2 linked regions of the Daphnia pulex genome follow. The protein of the gene in region 2 purifies or fractionates together with the protein of the main gene of each other region. This does not show direct contact. Links are inferred from orthologs where the notes say so. Each region holds a gene or a part of one and is shown on either strand. Other genes may lie near its edges. The genes, in order: U2 small nuclear ribonucleoprotein A'-like and splicing factor 3B subunit 6-like.

Region 1 (11,847 bases), on a different chromosome or scaffold from region 2:
CGAATGAAACACCACTGACTGTTCAGCTTTCACTGTGCGTCAAGTCTTTCGAGAATAGAGAGCCACAAGAGTACAAACGAATAGCAGACGACTAACATAAGCCCCGCCCATTCACTGTCGAAAAAGCTTAAAACTCGGCTCTCTCTCAAATTTGTAGCTTTCTTACAACCTTAAGCCAACACCACATAAAAAAAAAATAAGAAAAGTTTCTTGTTTTTTTTCTTGTTACTTATCTGTAAGAGAAAACCCGATATCTTCCATGTACTAACGAATTATGCTGTATTCATTCAACACATTTTTTATCGGTGAAGACTCCAACGATGGTATTGGATATTATCAAATACTAATGATTTATTTGTAAATATTAGTAGAATTTTGAACTTAAAACGATCAGTTCTGGATTTTCGTATAGCTGTAAGTTGTAACCTACAAACCAAGTTTGCTGCCATTATCACATCATCATGGCGGTGTTAGCTCATGATATTCCGGATGTGGTATCGGGAAAAATAGGAGTGGGCGCCAAAAATCTTACTCAAAACAACGAAACTTACGCACGGGCACGCTCGTTAATGAAAGGACACGAAACGCTCTAAATTAGATCGTCTACAGTTTCCAAGCTACTCCTAACCCGTCATGTCCGGCTGAAAATAACGCACACCCCCACATCCGCCTTCTATGCATGACTCATTCCGCAAATGGCAGATGAGCCTCTTCCGAATACACGTAGGATATACACACTATGTAGCATATCTAATTCTATGACTGAAAATTGGTTTCGCTACGCATTTTTCACAACACAGTTTTGTTAAAATGACCAAATTTAATCGCTTCTCGGTCTTTTAACTGTGACACAAATTAGACGGGCAATTTGTAATTTCAAAAATATCTTTCTGCTACCTTATTTACTCTAGGGTAGCGATATTTTTATTATCAAAGTGTAGTCCCACATTCACATTAACAGCTTGATACAAATTAATTTTTACCCGTGATGGCATTGTCATTTCTCCATGGGTTCATCTTCTTCCTCCTCCATATCTTCACCTACAACAATTCAAAAGTTTTAACAAACGAAACAAGGAAGTTGAAGACAGGATGTGAATTTACCATTTGCATTTCCGTTTTTGCTGGAGCCTTGGGTGGCTTTTCCAGGTACGACACCTGCCCTCAACATTTGGTTTAGACGTTCTACCTCTTCCAAGGTGGAGGCATTAGCAACAGCTTCTCGGATTGCACGAGCCTCCTCCGCAGATGCACCACCTACACAAAATAATTTAATAACATTTCTTAGGCTAACAAAACAAAACATTTGTGTTTTTTACCTATCGGTGCCTTATTTCCCGCTTCAGCTGAAAGAAACTTGCTTTTCTGGGCGATTTCTTTCGCCAATACTTTTCCTTTCTTTGATTTGAATAGGTCTCGGGCGGCTTCTCTCTCCTTCAAATCAAGTTTTACATGAATAAGGAGGAAAATTCCTGATGTCAGGTAGAACATTATTACCTTAAGTTTTACTTTACGAAAATCCAACACCCTCAGGCTTGGCAACTTGTTTATCACATATGAACGATAATGTTGCTTATTTGCAACAGGATTGCTCAGTAGACTTAAATAGGTGAGTTTAGAGAATTCTGCTAATGGGTCAAGGTCGCCCAACTCTTGCAGATGATTATTTGTCAGGACAAGGGTTTCGAGGTTTGGAATGACTTCACCTAATCCATCAGCAATGCGTCTACAGATTTTAAAGAATCATTTGCATGAAATTAAATTTGTGAATAATACAACAAAAAACTTACAAGATTCTGTTGTTGTTTAGGAGAAGACTTTTAATTCGTCTCAGCAAGGGAAAACCATCCAATTTCCTTATGTCATTATCTGAAAAATCTATTGTGTCAAACTGATCCTGAAAAAAGAAAACACTCCAGTAACTGTTCAGCATGATTACACTACAAATTTACTTACTAAAGTTGCTCCTAGGTTTTCAATTACAGGAATCTTGTAACCTAAAATGATGACAAAAAATAGCTGTATTTTCACGAAATATTTTTACAATTACATCACTTTTTTTAAGCCAACACAAAAAACTTTTGAACTTTAGTAACTGACTGAATGAGATTGAAGCTGAACGCCGGTTACATACCTCTTAAATCTAGTTCTCTTTCTTTGATGGCATTCGTGTACTGGTGGCTCAAGTGAATGACCTCAGCCGTCAACTTCACCATTTTCTTTTTGGCTTTTTAAACCTTAAACACGTAATTGAATTTGGGAAAAGATGCAATTAAAACTTGAACAAAATGTTTTTGCACGTTTGTAGTTGACAAATCTAGGGATATCTAAGTGACGCCATGTGCGATGTTGCAACTCATTTCCGAATACATTTCCAAACAGGAAATTAACTTTTCAAACTAAAGTTTTATCAAAGGTTTTGTGCATCTGTAGCTTTTTATCTTGAAATATAAATACTTTTCTAAACTAAAGTATTTAAATTTGTCAACAAAATTAAAAAAAATTATAAACGTTAGAAAATATATGAAAATGGCTGTGTTTTTGCCGCTAGGTTTTAAGCAGACGACAATAGCCACGAACGATTCGGCTTCCAGTAAAACTGTAAACAACTTCAAAATATTGAGTTTGTGTTGTAACTTGAAAGCAAGTTATCAACTTTGAAACAGCATTTGACATTTATCTTAAAATATCAAGTTAAAGACAGTATAAAACATGATTATTGCTGTTGAAGGGTGCGCTCATGGTGAACTTGATCAAATTTACCGGTCTGTCGAGAATTTGGCGAGGCAAAGAAATGTCAAAGTTGATTTGCTCATCTGTTGTGGAGATTTTCAAGCTGTTCGAAACGAAAGTGACTTACAATGCATGGCAGTACCTGACAAATTCCGTCATATCTGTACATTCTACAAGTATTTATTTATAATTGTTTTAGACAAATAAGAGTTTATTGTAATTGTTACTGTTTTTTTCAATATCAGGTATTATAATGGTGAATTGAAAGCACCAATTTTAACTATTTTCATTGGAGGCAATCATGAAGCATCAAACTATCTACAAGAACTTGCATATGGAGGCTGGGTTGCTCCAAATATATATTATCTTGGCTATGCTGGTGTAGTCAAGTTTGGTGGCATCAGAATAGCGGGAATATCAGGCATCTTTAAAGGACATGATTACTTGAAAGGACATTTTGAAAAACCTCCCTACACAAACAGCACTATGAGATCAGCTTATCATGTTCGTAGTCTTGAAGTATTTCGCTTGAAACAGGTAATTACATTTTGATTGTTTTAAAGATTAAAAACTTAAATGTCTTTTAATTTTCAGTTAAAAGAAGACATAGATATTTTTATTTCACATGATTGGCCTCGTGGTGTCTACAATTATGCAGATACCAGAGAACTTCTGCATTGGAAACCATTCTTTCGGTTTGAAATAGTGTTACCTAATTGTTCCAAAACACAATTCAATTTACACATTTCTTTCTTTCCCCTTCCAGTGATGAGATAGCCCAAAATGTATTGGGAAGTCAAGCTGGAGAAACATTACTTCACGAATTGAAGCCTAAACATTGGTTTGCTGCCCACCTTCATTGTAGGTTTGCTGCTACAATCCAACATAATGAAAAACAATCAACTCAATTTCTAGCACTTGATAAGTGTCTTCCAAGACGTCAGTACCTTGAAGTAAGATTTAATTCAGAATATTCTCGAAAAATTTAACAATTTAACTGTTGGGTATATCTAAAAGTTGGTGGAAATTCCACATGATTCCACCCAAAATTTGGAGTTGTGTTATGATCCGCATTGGTTAGCAATTCTTCGGTCAACTAACCATTTAATGAGTGTTCGTCCAACTACTCAGTACATGCCAAGTGGAGGTCCTGGATGCACTGAAAGGTGACACAAAAGCATTAGTTTTTATTTTTATGGATGCTGACCTTTTTTTATGTAAGATGGAACTTTAATCCAAACGAAGAAGAAATAGAACAAGTGAAAACTATCTTTGACAACGACTACAAAATTCCGTCAAATTTCTCCTTAACTGCTGAACCATTTAAGCCTCGACCAAATTACAACAGAAATGCTCAGCAAGCACAAGCGCAATTGAATCCTCAAACTACACAATTTTGCGAAAAGCTTGGTATCGACGATCCCCTCGAAAAATTGATTGGGAAACCGATTATCCTCACTGCTCCCGTAGTTAATCCAGACGAAATTGCTCTTGAAGATGACGATGAAGAAGAAGAGACAGGTGACCATACTGAGGAGGTAGCTGGGCAGGACAATGGTATATTCTTTGTCGATACCAAACCGCTGAAGAGAAGTAAAATGAGTTTACCGCAGCCGCAAAATGAAACACATGAGGAAGAACCACATACTGCGGAAAAGGAAGCTCCCTTAGGAGGGATTTTGGATGAAAACGATTCAAGTGCTAAAGTAGATGATCAAGATGTACCTACTACCGTAAAGAAATTTAAACGACGCAACCAAGAACTTTACATGGACCCGGAAAGTTCTACATAGCTTTTAAAAATTAAAAAAGAGATGACCTGATTTTTCAATAAAATCTACTTGGAAAAAATGCATATTTTGCTATCTATTTACTTCGTTTAAGTTTTTTGCCATTTTAAATTTTCCAACAGTTGTATTCTTATTTAAGTAGGTAGTTTTCAGAAGGCAAGATAGGCAGAGTACGTTTACCTTGAAACATCACAGTTGTAGCTAATATTCAAGATAGAAAAATGTTATAGCCAATATGGAATGAGCTAGATAGGAGAAGATATGAAATTAAGACAAAATAATTGTACGAATGTTTGCATATTTGCACCAATCCATCCCAACATAGTTGCAAATTCTTAGGATTTGTAGGGGAAGTTTTTTACCGGAAAATTGTATTGGACAATTTTATGTCCGTGGAATATTTAAATTAATTTCTCCGTTATGCGGGTTCTGAAAACTAAGTAAAGTAAGAATGTGTCGTTGAAATCCAATACTGGAATTTGATTGGTCATTTTGGAGTAGTGGGCCGCTCCTGTGTCATCGTAGTCAAGAATCCGTGTTTAAGTCTAGGATGTTTTCAGCACTGCTTTGAAGTTGTTCTCCTTTAATTTACGTCGAATCATAATGTTGAATGAATCGTTTACTCCTTCTCTATTATGCGAGACACGATCTATATCCATCTTGTATTGATTGCAGTACAACCTTTATTAATCATAAAAGAAGTCAATCCACTGTCTGTTTAAAAATACCAACAAGCTCATTTTAAACATACCAAACACGGAAGGTTCTGTCCTCCTAGAATTTTTAGGTCTGAGATCTGGTCCTTGTTTAATAATCTTCAAAGGTGATCTCACAGCCTTGGATGTAGATAAAAATGAGAAACCAATGGATCACTATATCGATTGGTAAACGTTAGTTGCAACTCCAAAAACTAAAATGTAGAACAAAATACCTGAAGTTAAAGTGTGTTCCGGGTGGGACAGGTGGCTGGAACGTGAGAAGAAAGCATGCAACGCACACGTTCTCCCATTCAGACTTGACATCGTTACGGACGTCGAGGACGTTTTCCTCTTATATTCAGTTTTCCTACTTCGTACACGCAGAAGGAATTAATGGTCTGAGACTTCCTGGGCCCATCCGACATGGCGACAACACCTTTCCGTCTTAGCCCTTCCACGGCTTCAAGCGGAAAACGGAATCCTCGGTCTCCAGTCGAAACTGGTGGAAGTTACGTTGCAGGCAAAAGTTGAGTTTGAGTAAGTCGAGACAGCCCTCAACGGAAAAGTATTGCCAGCACGATGTTTTCATTCCAGTGGATGTCCTCACTATGGTACAACGGCATTTTCAGCCAGTGCCTATAAGTTTGGAAGCGTGCCTTTCATGACGGGATATCTGTAATAAAAAGAATTCCAAGGGTGTATATAAAAACACAACAACCTGTACATTCTCCTGAATTACGCTCGTATTTTCAAACTATTTTTCACTCAACAAGAGCTCCATAAGGAATTGTTTGTTTTTCTTATCATCATCCGAATTGTTTGGGGGGAGGGGGGGTGGCAATTGCTTGAGGTGAGCCGCGATCATTTGCAACTCATTCGTACTGAAAATGATAAAAGTAAAATTTAATTTTTACGCCACAGGTTTTCAAGAGCAAAAAAAAGAATACCAAAGCTAATTCCATACCCAGAGTCGGGTAAGGCTTTTGAAATGTTTAGTGAGCGCTCCACGAGTAAATGATGCTGGCCACGTTGGTCGGTGCAAACTGCCTCAACTCGAGTAAAGTATTTGACAATTAGTCGAATACGGTTGATTTAAAAACGGGCGGTGGTAGACTTTTAGGATCCGTGTCCTAAAAAATTTGGTTCATTCTTTAAAACCAAGTCCCCATTTTCCATCAACTTCTTAATAAAAAGACTCGGAAAATTTTCTTTAAGTTTTAGAAGAATCTAAAACAAAAAAAAAGACAATGTTAATTCAATTTAGAATTTTCTCATCATAATTGTAAGTTTTAGTGTTGGTTTAAGGTTTTGTCTAGGAGTATGGTACACCTGGGTGGTTAGAAAACATTCCCGAATCCTAATTTAATTCTTTAAGCTACTTTTTAATTTAGGATTCCTACTAATTCTGGACAGTTTTTTTTGTAAAAAAAGTCTTGATTAACATTTGCATGTTCGACCACAGATAAAGAGTTGTTATTTATCTGTGGTTCCGACATTTTAGTACCCCCACGTGAGGTGCAATAGATTTTATCTTAACTAAACAAAGAATTAACACACACACAAATGTGAATTATGCAACCTAAAGTGTTTAGAACAGTTTACATCACTGACACATTACACAAAATTCACTACAACTTACGATTTCAGCGCAGCAAGCAATCGGAAAAAACAAGAAACAACACATCGAGATGGTAGTATAGTATGGCGCCACTTCCTACTGAAAAATGAAATAACGGGGGGAAAAAGACGTGCAGGGTTGCCATCCTTTTTAATACATTGCACTTTAAATGTGACCCCTAGATGGCGTTGAACATATTTTATTGGTTAAAAAGTGAACTTTTTTGAATTTAGAAGCAAACAACTCCACATAACATATTATCACATTAACGGTATCTTTGCCGTTGATAATTCTCCCACAACTGCTAGTCTATTATTCTTTAATCAGTATTGCCATCGCTTAAAACTTTATTAACTAGGCCTACTAGGTAGTATGTGTAAGATTGCTCAAATTCAAACCAAATATACATCAGTAATATGGTAATAATGAAAGCGCATAGAAAAGAGCGAGTGACAAACAAGACGGGTAAAGGTGACACAAATAGTAGGGCCTATGTTATTGTAGTTTAGATCTTTTCCCAAAGACTTTTTTCCCTGTATATAAGATATTACCATAACGGAAACCAGACAAAAAACAGATCCGCGATCTCCACAACCTAAGCCCAACAAAGCCTGAATAGCTAATGATTTCCTACTGTTGGTCAGCTTCAATACACCTCCAAACGTTAGATCGCAATCAACTATTCATGAGGCTCACGAATTTAGATGTATTCCTTCGAGTCTTTTGCTGCTGGAGTTGTATCTTGATTCTTGAATCCAACCAACATACACATTAACAACGCATAGACAAGGTTTCGTGCAGGTTTCGTGACACTTGTCATTTGAAAATAACCGAGTTCTACTTTATTTGACTTGTATAAGGTTTCCGGTGATGCAAGGTTATGGCTCACACTGACAAAGTGATAAACTGTAACAGGGGAGGCTATACAAATAAGTCAACTTTCCTCTACAAGAATTAGCTAGTCCAGTTTTTTATTCCGTAAAAGATTTTCATATAGGCTAGACAAAAGCCATGATCGGAATGCTATTGTATGGTTTATTATACTATACGTGGATATTTATAACGAAAACCAAGATTAAGTCAAATTTGCTTTTACATTCTGATGTCATTTTGTAGGAAATAACAATAAAACCAAGATGTTCATCTTGGTTAATATTTATCTAAGTTAAAACATTTCCGTTGTGGAATGACACTCACCAACCAGGCTGGAAATGGCGAGAAAAAACAAATGCATATCACATTGATTTCCCTATGATTCTGTGTGAAGTCGGTTACAGTATTACATTTTTATATGTAGATCACGCACATCTGTGTACGCAATCATCATCTGCATCTTAAGCGCTGCACCTGTTCTGCATAACAACGTCACATGTGACATAATAATCTTCCTGCCGCTTTATTAATTTCACAGGGGGGAAAAAGGAGAAAAGTCAAACATTTTAGAAAGTAGAAAGTCGATTGTTCTAAATTATTTAACTTCTTCAACGTAACAGTCCCTGACTACTCCACAAAACCTGGTTGGCATCTCAATTAAATGGAAAGAAAGAAAGAAAAAAACGGGTTATACGCATTTAGACGATAGGCATTTGGAGCTTGCAAGTTGCGCTCACTGTGTTTGAATGAGTGCCAGATGGTTACGGCCAACTGTACAATTCTCTTCTCAGTGGTGTGTTCATAGCATTTGTAATAGTGTTAAAGCTGTGTGTGAAGGTGGTGATGATGATCGCTGCAGTTTTATCCCAATATTTCCCCCCCCCCCTTTCAAAAGTGCCTTGATGTAATTTGGTCGTCTCTAAAGCAATAGTTGAGGAACACCCACCTGTGTGGCCACACATGCAGACCGGCCCCACGATGAGCGGTTGATTGGCTCAGCCTCTTCCGATTCTCAACGATCATCGCTACTCTCTTGCCGCATTTCTTTGTACGCTTATGCACTTCATCGCAGTGGCCAGCAAATTATGTTTTATGACGACCCAAGTCAAATCCAGAATATCTCACGGTCCCTCCACCTGGAAATGTGAAGACTGCCCATAGGGCATGCGTCCTATGGATGCTGAAAGGAAAAAGATGAAGTAAGTTGTAACGTGCGCGAAATTCCTTCAAGACAGTCGAAGACAGCCAAACAGCAGGCGGTGGGTGATTTACCGATATAATCGAATCTCATCCAGCTTTCTATATCCATTATTGTGTTGTGTTCCCATCTTTGAACAAGCTCATAGAGGAAAAGAAAGAAAGAAAAACCATAGCTGAGAAAACAACATTCTTGGTTTACAATCCGAGGATTATGACCTGCTGTTTATCGAATACAACCGAATCAAATAACCACCTGAAAAGAGTCTGGATAAGAACCTCATTGTGTGCGAATGCACCTTTATTTTTTACGTTGATCCTATGCCCGTCGGTGAGGCTGTTGTTTCTTCATCTTCTTTTTTAATATAGCGCTTTGTTTTGTTTTTATCGCATTCTGACCGGCCAATGTCGGTTTCCATTGTCCTGTCCTCTAGCATGAATTACACACTGTGAAGTATCGTATAAAAAGAATTTCGAGCCTATCGAGGGATTGAGTCCCCTGCGGTATAATAACTTGGTCTACAAGGAACTTCTCTAGGTAAATTTAAACGCAATTCAAAATTACCGCCGTCTTTTATTTTGTTTTTTTATTTTTTCAATGGCAGTTGTGCAATATTAGCAATTCAATTCTTTTCATTTCAATGGAAAATGTCAATTTAAAGAGATCAATCGATTGAAATGTCTTGGCAAATTCATTCAGAAACACCTGATTCATTTTAATTAAACTCGAGAGCGTTTCGAGTTTGTAATTCGTAAAAGGTAAGTTGTGAATCAAAACGAACGGCAAAAGTACCAACTCGTTTCTCCATGTCTTATTTTAAGCCTTTGCGACCTTCTTGTGCCCGACAGGTTGGAGAGATTTCATCGGTTCGTCAAGTTTTTATAATGTTAACGCCGAGAGAGTGTTGAGGGGACCATGGTATAAAAGAGCTGTTATTTTTATTACAACTCTAGTGCCAGGCTAAGGAATATACACACACAGTTATCTCGTAATGCTGCCAGGGGGGAAAAAAAGGTATTTTGTCAGAAAGACATGATCTTATACGCGTTGAGTTTGAATGAAATGCTTCAAAAAAGGATGGAATTCAAATACATGTTATCGTCGTTGTGTGATTTTGAAAAAGCCACGGCAGTTTAGAGTTTAACCCGTGAAAACGAGAGAGTCGAATGCTGATGGAAATGTAGTAAAGTTGCCAAGAAAGGGACCCGGAGAAAAAATCAGAGAGAGAGAGAGAGAAAATCCAGATGAATGGAAGCAGGAGCAGCAACAAGAAGCACCAAGGAGCCAACGTGTTGAATGGCTTTGGCGGCAGGTTGGTTAACGAGGTTTCAAAGTCCCCCCGAGTTGATTGATGTTAGGAGAACCTTTGCCTTTTTTTCGTACACTCGGCTGTTAGCCCTCTCTTGCTCTTTTCATTCAATGTCGTTGTTCCTTTGCCCTTCTTTGTGCCATCGCCTTCAAACCCCCAAAAGTTCGATTGAACCATCAGGAAAAAAAAATCACTACATTTCTTACAAATTTCCTTTTTGGGGCTTTTTGTACTTCGCGCTGAGAATTCTCAAAGGGCCAAAAAATATTCATTGATGATCTGGCGTTTCTCCAATAAGATGGATGTGCCGATTTTTCTTTCAAACAATTCAAGTTGCCAACAATATAAACTATCTAGGCCGTTTGGCAGGTGATTCTTCAATCATATTCATTTGAATCAGTTGCTGCCAAGTTGCTAGATATCCCTTCATCGGCTTGGACGCTGAATGTACACTCCGGAATTATAACCGGAATTAGAAATAAATGTGTATGTTGGCCAGCATCGTACAACAAAACAAGTGGTTGAGATACAGTAGACTCTAAATAAGTAAATAAGGTTTCCTGAACTTGACCCATGTTCGAGTCTCAACCGACGCATTAGAATTGGAAGACATAGAAAGAGTCAAAGAACCCTTTCTTTTTTGGCACGGCTAAAAAGGCTTAAATTAAGTTTTGACAAAACAGCAGCACAGTGTTAGAAAAACACACTCCATACATTCAGCGAGATGAACATGAATGAATTTTTGTTTTTCTTTTTTTTTTTTTTGAGCTAGCGACCCATTTGCACAGTTGACTGTGTGTGGATATAATGAAATACAACCGCCTACTAATTAGCCGAGGGCAGCGAAATGGAGAAATGGAGCAGAGCCCTGTCGCGCACAGCCCCGAATGGTATTGTTCTTTATATATATTTATGGTCGACTTCCTGTGCCAACGACGAGTCTATATACGTGTGTGTGTATATACGAAAAGTGCCAAACGACTAGCAGACTTGTTTGACGTGTGGGGAGGAAGGGAAACCGCAATGTTCCATGACAGATCGTCTCTCAAGTCTCCGCTCACACATAGGCAGGCATATGTGTGCGCAGTCAATGTGACCATCTAGGCACATCAGTGCTGGGAAACGGGGAGGAGTTTCAACTCTTTGCAAACCCAAAATGTTTCAGAGAGTCTCCAGAGATGCAATAAAAACGATCTCGAGGGTTCGAAAAAATAGACTGAAAACAAATCCTTCGTATATATATACATTGGCGATGGAGAATGATGATATACTTTACTGCACAATTTTACATTTTTTCCATCAATTTCTGCTGGACCCTCTCTCTGGAGTCTTGTCCTCTCAACGAAAATCCCAAGTCTCTAAAATATAAAATCGAGTTGGCGATGAGAAGAAGCAGGAGGTGCCGGATTTGAATTTCGAGTGATAATCAAATACCAAAATAGAGACGGGATGTGCAATTTGCTGCTGGGAGGTGGGAAGCAAAACCAAGGAAAAGAATTAGGATAGCGGCGGTGATGGCCAGAGCAGTTCCCGCCTTTCACTTGGGGCCGCCACCAGTGAATGAAGTGGTAATCCTCAGGTAGTGTAGTTCTGTTGTTTCAACTTGGATATATTTTGAAAACTTGTTT
Region 2 (11,427 bases):
CAAGAGAGCTAGATGACTTCAAAGCGCAAATGGCAACACTTATCCGACATCACTCTTCCAGCGTATGAGTTATCATGATTTGCTATTTTTTCTTATACATATTACATTCTATTAGGTTTATTCGACACAAGATATGCATCACTTATGGGGTCATATTTTTTGCCATCAGGTGATCTCAGCTATCATTGTCCCTAAATCCGATGAGATGAGCTGAGCATTTCGAATCTTCGATGTCATGATTGAAAAACGAACTGTGTTTATTAGTATTATTGATCCCTGAGGCTAAGGCTTTAGCCTGCCGAGGGCCTTAACAGGGTTCCCGTAGAGCTCAAAAGTCTCCCTGGAAGGAAATGGGAAAAGGCGGAGCTTAGAGAGAAAAACTACCCCCACGTGACCGAAATCTGGCCTTGCTATTGGCTCCCGTCTCGATTTACCGATCGATATAAAATCGGAAATTCAGTGAAGCCTATACTCCCTGCCACGCGATTTTCAACTCACGGTCCCACATTTTTCAGTCACCGCCGAAACCTGAAAATGGAATTGCGTGGATACCCAGGGGTAGTTTTTGTGATAGAAATGTAAATGTAAACAAACAACAGATTTAGAATGCATTCGAAGATTCGTGTATTATATTATCAAAGGAAAAGTAATTCAAAATGTTTTCCATGCCTAACAAAAATTGGCGTTTACTTCCGAATTTTATTTAAGTTAATATTTAATGTTTCGGTATTCCCAAGTTTCACTGTATTCATTCAGCTTTTTGTTATGTCCTAGTCCTAGTCCACAGACACATACCAACAGTTGCTTCCATTGAAAAAAAAACGATTAAACATTCAGCAACTTGTGTCAACAGTTAAATAATTGGTCTCTTACTAAATTAAGTCATTTCAGGAACTCAGCATGTTCTTCAGTATATCGAAACAGTGCCAACCCACCTGTGCCAAACTACATGTTTACAACTGGTAATTCGTAATCGCCCAGATGCAGAAAAGTTTAATCTTTAAACTGAATTTGTTCTACAGGAGTAAATGTAGCATGGATCAACTTACAGTGACCAACTTACAGTGACCAACTTCCAGTGACCAACTTCCAGTGACCAACTTCCAGTTACCAACTTGTGGCTAGAGTCGATACTTACAAGGGTATTAGTTGCAATGCTTCCTGACATGGCAAATTATTCCATAGCAGAAATAGGTGAGACACACACATAATCATTGTAGAGTCTAATGTTCTATTTCTATACATAATTTTTTCATCATTAGATGCTATGTGTCGAAAAGCTAAAGTGTTTTTCCACTGTGATGGAGCCCAAGCTCTAGGTAAAATTCCAATTGATGTTGAATCGATGTCAATTGATTTATAAAGGTATTTTACAATTTAATATATGATTGTTATTTCGATGTAATTCACTCTTTTTTCGCATCATTATTTTCTTGAACTTGAACAAAAGGTGTTGGTGCTCTTTACGTGATAGGCCGACCACGGGTTAGGATTGAAGCTCTGCAAAGTGGAGGTGGTCAGGAATGAGGGATACGTGGTGGAACAGTTCCTACTCCACTGACAGAGTGACAGTTGGTTTTGGCGCAGCATGTGAAGTAGCTCAGCAAGAACTTAAGGTTTTAGTTCATGTCATAGTAGTATCCATACATAACTAATTGATCAAAACCATGTTTTAGTATAATCATGCCAGATTAGTTAACTATCGCAACGCTTGATCGATCAGATTGGTAATAGTTTAACACATGTCGTACGAAATTGAGATCCTGAACACTCCTACCCAGGTTGTGTAAACCTTTCTTTCGCCTACGTCGAGGGAGAAAGTCTTTTCATGGCCCTGAAAGGTAACTTTAAAGGCAACTTCCACTACCTTTCATTTTAACTAATTCTTTTTATTACGTAAGACGTGGCACTCTCAAGCGGAAGTACTTGCACCTCAGCATTGCTGGAACTTTCATATATTTTGCGGACCATTGGCGCTGAAGAAGATTTGGCGCATTCTTCTATTCGATTTGGAATTGGGCGATTCACCACCGAAGCTGAGGTTGATTACACGGCAGAAAAGTGTATTCATCAAGTATCACCAAACTTCGAGAAATGAGGTATATACCGACCAGGTTTGGAATTCCCAGACAAAAAGTTTATTTTACTTCCGCTAAAAATGTTAATTTGTCCTTCTTCCTTATTTGTTTATTTTTGTCGAAATGAAAATTTATAAATGCAACGTCGTTCTTTTTTTTTTTATGGTCAGTGTTTTAAAAAAGTAGAAGAGTATACAGAGTACAATAAAATAAAAAATTACAGAGTAAAATAAAAAATAACGACAAGAAAATGAAGCACAAGAACAAGACTGCCTAATTCCAAAATTCTTCCAAGATAGCTCTGTCACTTAGCCGAAGGCCAACGCTTGCAACGCGAGCCCTAGTTTAATGTAATTCATTATTTGTATATTACTTTTCTGTTTATTTCAACTAGTTTATTTACAAACGAGTAGTCTTTGGCATAATTAAGTTCATATATAAAAAAAGCGACATTAAGTGCAATTATTTTTGTTGATTTGGCAACTCGCCCCTTTAAACGACTTACACCGGTAATACGTTGCCAAGGTTTTCGACATTACATGGTTTATTTACATTGTGTTGCCTTTTGAAAATGGAGGATCCAGAAACAAATAACATACATTCAAACATAAAATGGATTCCATTAAGTATCACAGCAGAATATCCTGAAGGTTATTTTGTGTAATTTTAGTTTTTTAGTGGCTTCTCATTATTATTGAATTCTGATTCTATCATGTAGGTGATCTCATTGGAAAACTGCTAGCGTTTTCTTCTATGGTTCCTCATGCCCTTATTGTCAGTTTTATAACATTGATATTGTTTAGAAGAGATTTGCATACGGTAAATCAGTATTCACATGTGCGTGGAATTCTAAATTTGTGAATGTTTTAAACTTTGTTCTTTTTTGTAGATATCATACCTCTTAGGACTGGTGTTAAATGAAGGCATTAATTACGGTATTATTTCTTCCCAATTTCTGTTAAAACCCACATACATTTATGTTTTTAAATTTTAGTGCTCAAACATACTCTTCGTCAGGGAAGACCATTAGTTAGACCTAGCCTCTTACATGAGTATGGAATGCCATCATCTCACAGCCAGTTCATGTGGTTTTTTACTACCTACATGTTCCTTTTTATTTGGGTACGCTTGAGACACATTAGCTACACAAATACCATATGGATTTGCATCTGGAAAACTGCCATCTCAGTAGCATGCCTTGTTGCATCTATCATTGTTGCCATAGCAAGGTTTTATTCTAATTCTTTGTTTATTTTACTTAAGTGAAAAAAAATACTTAATTCTCTTGCTTCATTATTAGGATTTATCTTCAGTACCACACTGCTTCCCAAGTAATAGTAGGGGGATTACTTGGATCTGTTTTAGCAGTTTCGTGGTTCTTATTTACGCAATTCGCTCTAACGCCGTGGTTCCCAACTGTTGCATCATGGTTAGTTTTCCTCAAAAGTGTTTCCATGCCGATAACATGCAATATTCATTGTTATTTCTTAGGAGAGTGTGTGAATGGCTATTGGTGAGAGATCAAACATTAATCCCTAACATTATCTGGTTTGAATATACATCTCACCGGAGCGAATCAAAGCACAGAAGTCGAAAATTGGTCTCCATGAAGTCCCAGTAAAACTGGCTTGAAAATAATTTTGTGTTCAGTAGCTGCAGTGCAATTGTTTGTCTGTTTACTGTGCCTACAAATCTGTTATTCTTGAAAGCCGGATATTTCGTGAATATTCTTTTTAGAAAAAACATTTTTGAGTTGTAATAACTCGTGCAAATCATATTTGATATTCCATTACAATGGAATACCTCACAATTACACTGGTTGGAAAAGGGTCAATACTGGTTACAATTCACATAGTGAAAATGGTTTTTTTATTATACCAAATTGTACAATGAGAAATGAGGTCAATTTACATGTTATTCATCATTCAATCCAAATTTAGCCTTCATGCTTTCTATCTCTTCTTTCTTCTTGTCTGTGTCAACCTTTTTGAAGGCCTTTGTAGGTTGATAATAGAGTACTACAAGGTAACGATTGCAGACATTAAAACCAGAAAGATGATCACAAGCATTTTTTGCATCAAAAATGTCTTCATAGACCACAAAAGCTGTTCCTCTGGTTTCTGGAGTGTTCCCTCTATCAAATCAAATGAGTTACAATTGATGCTAACATATATTATCAATTTCTACTTACACTCTGATTTGCCGAATAGCTCCGTATTTTCCAAAGATATCATACATTTCTTCTGATGTAATTTTATAGGGAAGATTTCGGACATATAGGATTCTGTTTACTTCAGGAGGTAACCTCACCTGAAAAATAAAAATATTTAAGAAATGCTCACATGGAAATCTTGATGCACAACAATCTTGACTCAATATAATAAACTACTAATGATAAAAAAAAATTAACACATGATTGCATACGTTTAGCTTTTTCTGCATTGCCATCGCCATTGTTAGGAGTAAAATTCAGTTAAAACAACGAAATCACTGATCAATACAATTCAAAACTGTGCTCGTGAACTTGACAATAAGAACGCCGCTTGGTATTCAAAATGGCTGCATAGCAGACGACGATTCTGAGCTGACAGAATAAACAAAACATTATTTTCGTGTAATTCAATTAATTGGTTTTATGCACTAGAAAATTTGATTCAAATTAAATACTAAAAAAATGTATATATATCTCATAAAAATCTTTTCCTAGCTCAATTTACTCTTCACATTTTAATATTTTGGCAATGCTGATGTTTTAGCAGACGAATTTGTGTCAAATGAGGAATAGCATACTCAAATAAGAGAAAAGGAAAGGGGAAAAGTTTCCACATCGTACGACCCGAATTCCTTTTTCTATTGGTTCGAATATCAAGATATGATGCAGATGGCCACTATTCGAGTCGCGTAAACTGAACTGATTCGCTACTTCCGATATCAATTAAATAAAGGGATTTTTAAGCTTCATCCGGTGCTGTGCATACAATAAAGAATTGCTGGGATATAACTAAAGAAAGCACATTGAAATTCTGCACATTAACAGATGTCTTCTGATCACGAAACACAATATGGTCGCACAATGGATAGTGTAGAAAACAGGGTAACAAATGGCCATGATTCAAGTTCCACAGTTGTTCATTCTCGTAAGTATTGTTATTTTTAATCAATTAGTTGTGATAATAAACAATTATTTTTATTCTACAGCTAGCATGCCCTGGTTTGGAATGGATATAGGTGGAACTTTAGTTAAATTAGTGTATTTTGAACCAACTGACATTGCTCCTGAGGAAGAGAATGTAAGTTCGTCAGAAATTGAAACCTTACACAACATTCAAAAGTATCTCACTAGTAACAATGCTTATGGAGAGACAGGGCACCGAGACATTCATCTGCAGGTGTTTACATCTTCTAATCTTTCCTATTTTATCAGAAATTGATTTCAGTATAATTTTCAAATTTCAGATGAGTTCAATTCCAATGGGAAACAGAGTAGGAACATTACATTTCATCAGATTTCCTACCTCTGAAATGGAGCAATTTCTGCAGCTAGCAAAATCTAAAGGATTTGCCTCTCTGTCCACAACCATTTGTGCCACAGGTGGAGGTGCATACAAGTTTGAAAAAGACTTTTTAAGGGTTTGTACACTTTATGCAGCTTTGATTTCTTTTTCTTTTTTCTTATCTTGTTATACGGTTGTCTGTAGGCTGTTAATTTAAATCTACATAAATCGGACGAACTGGAATCCCTTATCGGTGGGCTCTTGTACATTGAAGAAATTCATCGTCCCGAGGTTTATTATTGGGAAAATCCAACTGACGAAACTAAGTGCGTAAAAAAAACATATGACTTCAAGAACCCATATCCGTTTTTGGTAATTCCATCATTTAAAAACTTTATTAACAAACAAATGACTTTAATTCTGTTGTTGTTACTTTCATCTGATTTTATTTTCTAGCTAGTAAATATTGGTTCAGGTGTGAGTATACTTGCTGTGTATGGCCCAAATAATTTCAAACGAGTCACCGGTACCAGGTAAAACAACGCATAGAAAACCAAAAAAAAAACTCTCAAGATTAATCTCACAGCTCTTTGAATGTTTTGCATAGCTTGGGTGGTGGAACTTTCTTGGGATTATGCTGCTTGCTTACCGGATGCCAGTCTTATGAAGAAGCTATCGCGCTCGCTGCCGCTGGTGACTCAACGAAGGTTGATAAGAAAGTCCGAGACATTTACGGTGGAGACTATGACCGATTCGGGTTGGATGGCAACATTGTTGCAAGCAGTTTCGGTCAAATGAACTTATCTGATCGAAGAGCCGAAGTAACCAAAGCAGATTTAGCCCGTGCGACGCTTGTAACCATTACAAACAACATCGGGTCCATTACGCGGATGTGTGCACTGAATGAAAAAATTGAAAGAGTATGTTGCTGGTCAAATAAGCTTAAACTTGTATTAATTCTGTTGTTTTTTGGGTTTACCAGGTAGTGTTTGTTGGCAACTTTCTGCGAGTCAATACTCTTTCGATGAAGCAGCTCGCCTATGCAATGGATTTTTGGTCCGATGGAGCTTTAAAAGCTCTATTTCTTGAGCACGAGGTAATGCAAAATGATTTCGTAATCGTTTACGTTATTAAAATGTAATTACATTTATTAGGGTTACTTTGGTGCCGTTGGTTGTTTATTGAGACTCGTGCATATACAACCGACATGCCTACCTCCAAAGGAGGGTGACTCTTAATTAGTCATTAGAAAATGACATGCAAGTTCAAAGATACTGCTAGATTTTGTTTTCTGCCAAGGAAATTCCAGCACACATTCTCAGCTCAGACAACAATGTTTAATTTCTCATATTTAGTGTAGTTGCTCATATTTATTGAGCATTTCCTTCTTCTACCATCTCTTTAAGTGCCGATGGCAGCCAACAAAACCAAAAAGAACAGTAGATTTATACGTATCTCTCTTCCAGTTGACATTGATTTTTCTGTACAAAATTTGGGTCTTTATTGTTGTTTCTTAACGAACCAGATTTTTGACCACAGTTTATTAAATATGTCGAAATTGTATAATCGTCATAACACTCGGGGCTATTACAGTTTGTATTGGGATAGTATTTTAGAATATTGTTTTATTTCCTGATTCTGACGAGACGATAAACCCAGTATGAGAATCTAACCTTAAAGAGTATAAATCACAGATAAGCATTAATGGTCTAGATACGTTTCCTCTTCCTGATTTGAAAACTACTAGTCAAAGGTTATAAGATTCGATGTGTACTTTGTCTTCCGCATTTTCTTATCTTGCGCTGAGGAAAGCAAAATCCACCCTTCAACGAGCTTTTTGTACGCATTCGTGGTAAGATTCGAAGCATTTAAAGTCGTAATAATAGTCGCTCTTATTGTCCGGCTTGTCGCCTTGTCTGTTGTCCAGCATTTAAAAAAAAAAATTTATATTACTGGAACGTTGACCAACTTGGCAACCTCTCCTATATTCATCAATAATTTCGATGGATCTGAGACTGACTAATTTAACAATAGGTGTGTGTTCTTTAAATTAGTGTAAATAATTCAGATTTGCCCAGTAATAATCTTAAACAGTTTTACCGCTTGTCAATAACAAGAATTAGTTTCATAAAGATGAGTGAAATTTAAGCTGTTGATCAACACAGCAATCAGTGTTAAGATTCCTCTGAACGGAGATCCTTTAATGCACGTTCTCATGGATGAATTGTCTTCCTAGTTTCATCTCTCGTTATTAAAAATAACAACCTACAAAACATGGAAGAGTACGTATCGCTAACCTCTCCCAATACACCAGTATCTCCTCTCAGCAATGCTTGTACCAGCCCAGGTGAACTCCATGCCTCGATGTCTGGGAAAGTTTGTGGAGTGTGTGGAGACAAGGTATGTACTATATTATGCTTCCTACTATTTTTCTGTTGAGGCACTAATTCAAGAATGTTTTATTGCATGGTTAAAGGCTTTAGGGTGTAACTTTGGTGCAACTACCTGTGAATCTTGCAAAGCCTTCTTTAGACGCAATGCCCTTAAAGGAAAGGTACATTGAAAATAAATATACATCTCATTATTTGTGTTGCTATGAACTTGCCATTCTTACTTTCTTCCAGGAATTCCGTTGCCCATTTGAAAACAATTGTAAAATAGATGCTGTGACACGAAGATTTTGCCAAAAGTGCAGGCTTAAAAAGTGCCTTGATATTGGAATGAAGAAGGAATTTATCATGTCTGAAGAAGAACGAACAGTAAAGAGAAGGAAGATTGAAGAAAATCGAATGAAGAAAACTAAACCTGGGAGGACAAATAATACAAAGATCAACTCCAAACAACTTATTCATCTCTTAAATGGTGGTGGAAGCAGAGCAAACCAGAGAAAAAGTGATATTAAATCTGAAGCAGAATCAAGTTTCTCTGATTCAGATGTCACTACAAGTCCCTTGGACAACTCTTCCGAGGGATTTCATGAAAGCCCTGCCTCTTCGAACAAAGCGACAATAACAGTGATAAGTAATCACCAACAATTGACACCAGAAAACAGAGGTATAAATAAGTATTTGCTCGGTTTTCCCCTTCACAGTGTCATCAACGTTTGACTTGTTTTCTCGCAATATAGGAAGAATGCTTGAAATGTCTCCTCCGGAGGATTGCCCAAGTGACAGCTCTCCGTCTACCGCCAATGGCGGGATGCGTAGTCAATCCATGAGCGTAGCCGATGCCTTTAATATAAACTTGCAGACCATGGATGCTTTATTAAATACTGCCATTTCAGCTGAATACAATGTCGTGGTCGATTTAGTTCGGGGCAATGATACTAGCCCACTGTCGCCAGTCCGTGATCGCCAACTGAATGAACTGGAAATGGCCAAGTTGCAGGAACTCGTGGTGGCAAACAAAGCCCTTTTGGCACCCTTGACGGAAGAACGGCCAGTCGATGTATGAGCAGTCACAATTATTTTAACAGTCATACTGATCTAAATCTTTTTATTTAATTCAACTTTGACAGCTTCATTACGATTCGGGGGACCCAACATTACTAAATGTTATCAATTTGACGGATATTGCCATCAGGCGAATCATCAAAATGGCGAAGAAATTGGCAGCTTTCAAGACTTTGTGTCAAGAGGACCAGATCGCCTTGCTGAAGGGTGGTTGTACCGAGCTGATGATTTTGCGCTCGGTCATGTCCTACGACGCCGACAAAGGATGCTGGAAGGTATGTGCAATTAATCGCGAATGAAAGGGTTTTGTGAGGTGGGACTGATGAGCTTTTCTCTCTCATCGTATTGGACAATAGATACCACACACGGACTCGCACATGAATCACATCAAAGTGGAGGTGTTGAAGGAAGCACAGGGAAACTTGTACGAGGAACACCAACGCTACATTCAATCTTTTGATCCGCTGTGGCGTTCAGACGAGCACATCATGCTGCTGCTGTCGGCCATCACTTTATTCGATCCCAACCGACCTCACGTCATCCATCGAGATGCCATCAAACTGGAACAAGAGTCGTACTACTATTTGCTTAGGCGCTATTTGGAGTCAGTGGTAGGTGGTTGCAAGGCCCGCTCAATGTTCCTCAAGTTGATTGCTAAAATCTCCGAGTTGCACATACTCAACGATAATCACGTTCGAGTTTACTTAGACCTTAATCCTAAAGAGGTAGAGCCTCTGCTTATTGAAATCTTCGACTTGAAGTCCAGATGATGCTGACGATCTCAGCCGTCTAGTCATTTCAAAATGAAACATCCAATTGGAAAAAATTTAACGTTCAGGGCTCGTCTTTCTTCCCCCATCAAATTTTTTTTTGTTTTGACGGTTTTTTTGCGTTTTTGCGTCGATCGTCCTTCGTTAAGTTTATTTGTATGAAAAGGTTTTTACATAATTTGATTTCGTGAACAATTGTGTCGTGCTGCCGCGCCATCCACTATTTTATATATTACCTTCCTCCACAATAGGAGGTACTATTGGTTTTTATTTTGTAAAAAAAAAAAAGAAAATGGAAACAACAATCAACGTACTGTGTGCCAAGATTCCAAATGTCTTAATAACTATCACGACATTTCGTCCCGACATTCTTCGCTCTCCCACGTCATGTAGTGTTCCGATCGTCGAGAAAATGAATAAAAGAAACTTGTGTCTGTATCGCGGTCGATCGTCGAGAATTCGTCATCCTGTCGCAGACGGACGGTTGCGTGAGTCAACATTGCCGAGATACCGATTAGATTACACACATCTGTCAAGCCTTGCTCCCAGCGTCGGATTCCATTATCTTACGTACAACAGAGATGGGTCGAAAACTAACCCAATGATCCTGAAAAAAACTTGGATTTTTCGAAACGAGAATTTTCAGCTCGCACATTTATTATTAGTTCCATGAACCATTCAGCGCGTTTGTCGTTTCGCAGTAAAACAGGAACTATAGTATAAGACGTATAGGCTGCACTCTCCTGTTTATTATTATCGAGCTACTTCTTTCTGCTTACTGGTTATAATGTCTTAAAAGCGGGTGGTAACGGAGCCCTATCCAGCAGCAGCAGTTTTTGACTGACGCACTAACGCGTGAGGGTTATTGGGTTCTCCAGCCACTTGTTTCCTCTTCTTAATTTTGTTCTTGCGTACTGGACCAACTATAAAGGAAGTTGATGACCAAAATAGCCCTGCGCTTTTGTTACGACTCAAGCAACGCTTGACTGCAACCAGACTTGGATGGATTTACATGTGACTTGATCATCTATCATTCAACGCGAATAGAAGACATTCCGATCCACAGAGCACCTTTGAAAAGTTGCTCCCAGGAAATGCGGCGCATATTACAGCATTGAGAGTAAGGAGTTTTATGTATTTTAATTGAAACAGAAATTATTCAGACATTGCTTATTTCGCCCCACAGTTCCAATTGGGATTGGTAATCGTTGGATTTAATATTCGCCCTTCCATTATTCAGCGATTTGATGGCAGCAGCAGAGACGGAAGGAAACAAGAAAGACAAGTCCGAGAGAACAGCAGTCTCGCCTTTATCTGAAATGTTCATCAACTGATGGGAAAGCGAAAGTGACGGCTGACATTTATCAGAGAGAGACGTGGGAAATGTCCACCAGCGGATCGATCGACGGAATCCTGTGCTGCCCAAGTGGTTTCTCCTCTTCCTCCTCGTCGTACGGGCTGTTGTGCATTGTGTGTTCACTGTCGTCGCGCTTCTGATTGAACTGCGTGGCTCCCCCAAACCAGTGCGGATGGCCAGACCGCCAGACGGATGGCTTCAGGAATGCCTGCCTTTTTTTCTTATTCCTTTCTTTTGTGTGTGGTGGCACTCGACTGCGTACTTGTCGTTGACTCT

The links.
Region 1: the proteins of splicing factor 3B subunit 6-like (region 2) and U2 small nuclear ribonucleoprotein A'-like purify together in Homo sapiens (affinity purification with mass spectrometry; 5 studies listed by BioGRID and IntAct, with this or other methods). This does not show direct contact. The link is inferred for Daphnia pulex from reciprocal best matches to the Homo sapiens genes SF3B6 and SNRPA1.

The regions. Positions count from the first base shown.
Region 1 is NC_060021.1:10,325,391-10,337,237, forward strand, and holds U2 small nuclear ribonucleoprotein A'-like, read right to left. Parts: upstream 2,360-11,847; 5' UTR 2,217-2,359; coding exon 2,135-2,216; intron 1,998-2,134; coding exon 1,957-1,997; intron 1,898-1,956; coding exon 1,791-1,897; intron 1,727-1,790; coding exon 1,498-1,726; intron 1,435-1,497; coding exon 1,320-1,434; intron 1,258-1,319; coding exon 1,105-1,257; intron 1,042-1,104; coding exon 998-1,041; 3' UTR 868-997; downstream 1-867. Other genes in the region: lariat debranching enzyme B-like, read left to right, coding at 2,713-2,909, 2,979-3,270, 3,328-3,428, 3,500-3,686, 3,751-3,899, 3,956-4,526. UniProt on the Homo sapiens protein: Involved in pre-mRNA splicing as component of the spliceosome. Associated with sn-RNP U2, where it contributes to the binding of stem loop IV of U2 snRNA.
Region 2 is NC_060019.1:12,850,096-12,861,522, forward strand, and holds splicing factor 3B subunit 6-like, read right to left. Parts: upstream 4,663-11,427; 5' UTR 4,533-4,662; coding exon 4,503-4,532; intron 4,389-4,502; coding exon 4,270-4,388; intron 4,213-4,269; coding exon 3,993-4,212; 3' UTR 3,931-3,992; downstream 1-3,930. Other genes in the region: dolichyldiphosphatase 1-like, read left to right, coding at 2,650-2,728, 2,797-2,897, 2,968-3,013, 3,073-3,307, 3,379-3,507, 3,570-3,699; pantothenate kinase 3-like, read left to right, coding at 5,116-5,215, 5,277-5,467, 5,535-5,708, 5,777-5,944, 6,029-6,105, 6,180-6,492, 6,555-6,668, 6,727-6,810; nuclear hormone receptor HR96-like, read left to right, coding at 7,576-7,606, 7,809-7,972, 8,049-8,126, 8,197-8,626, 8,700-9,019, 9,090-9,299, 9,381-9,794.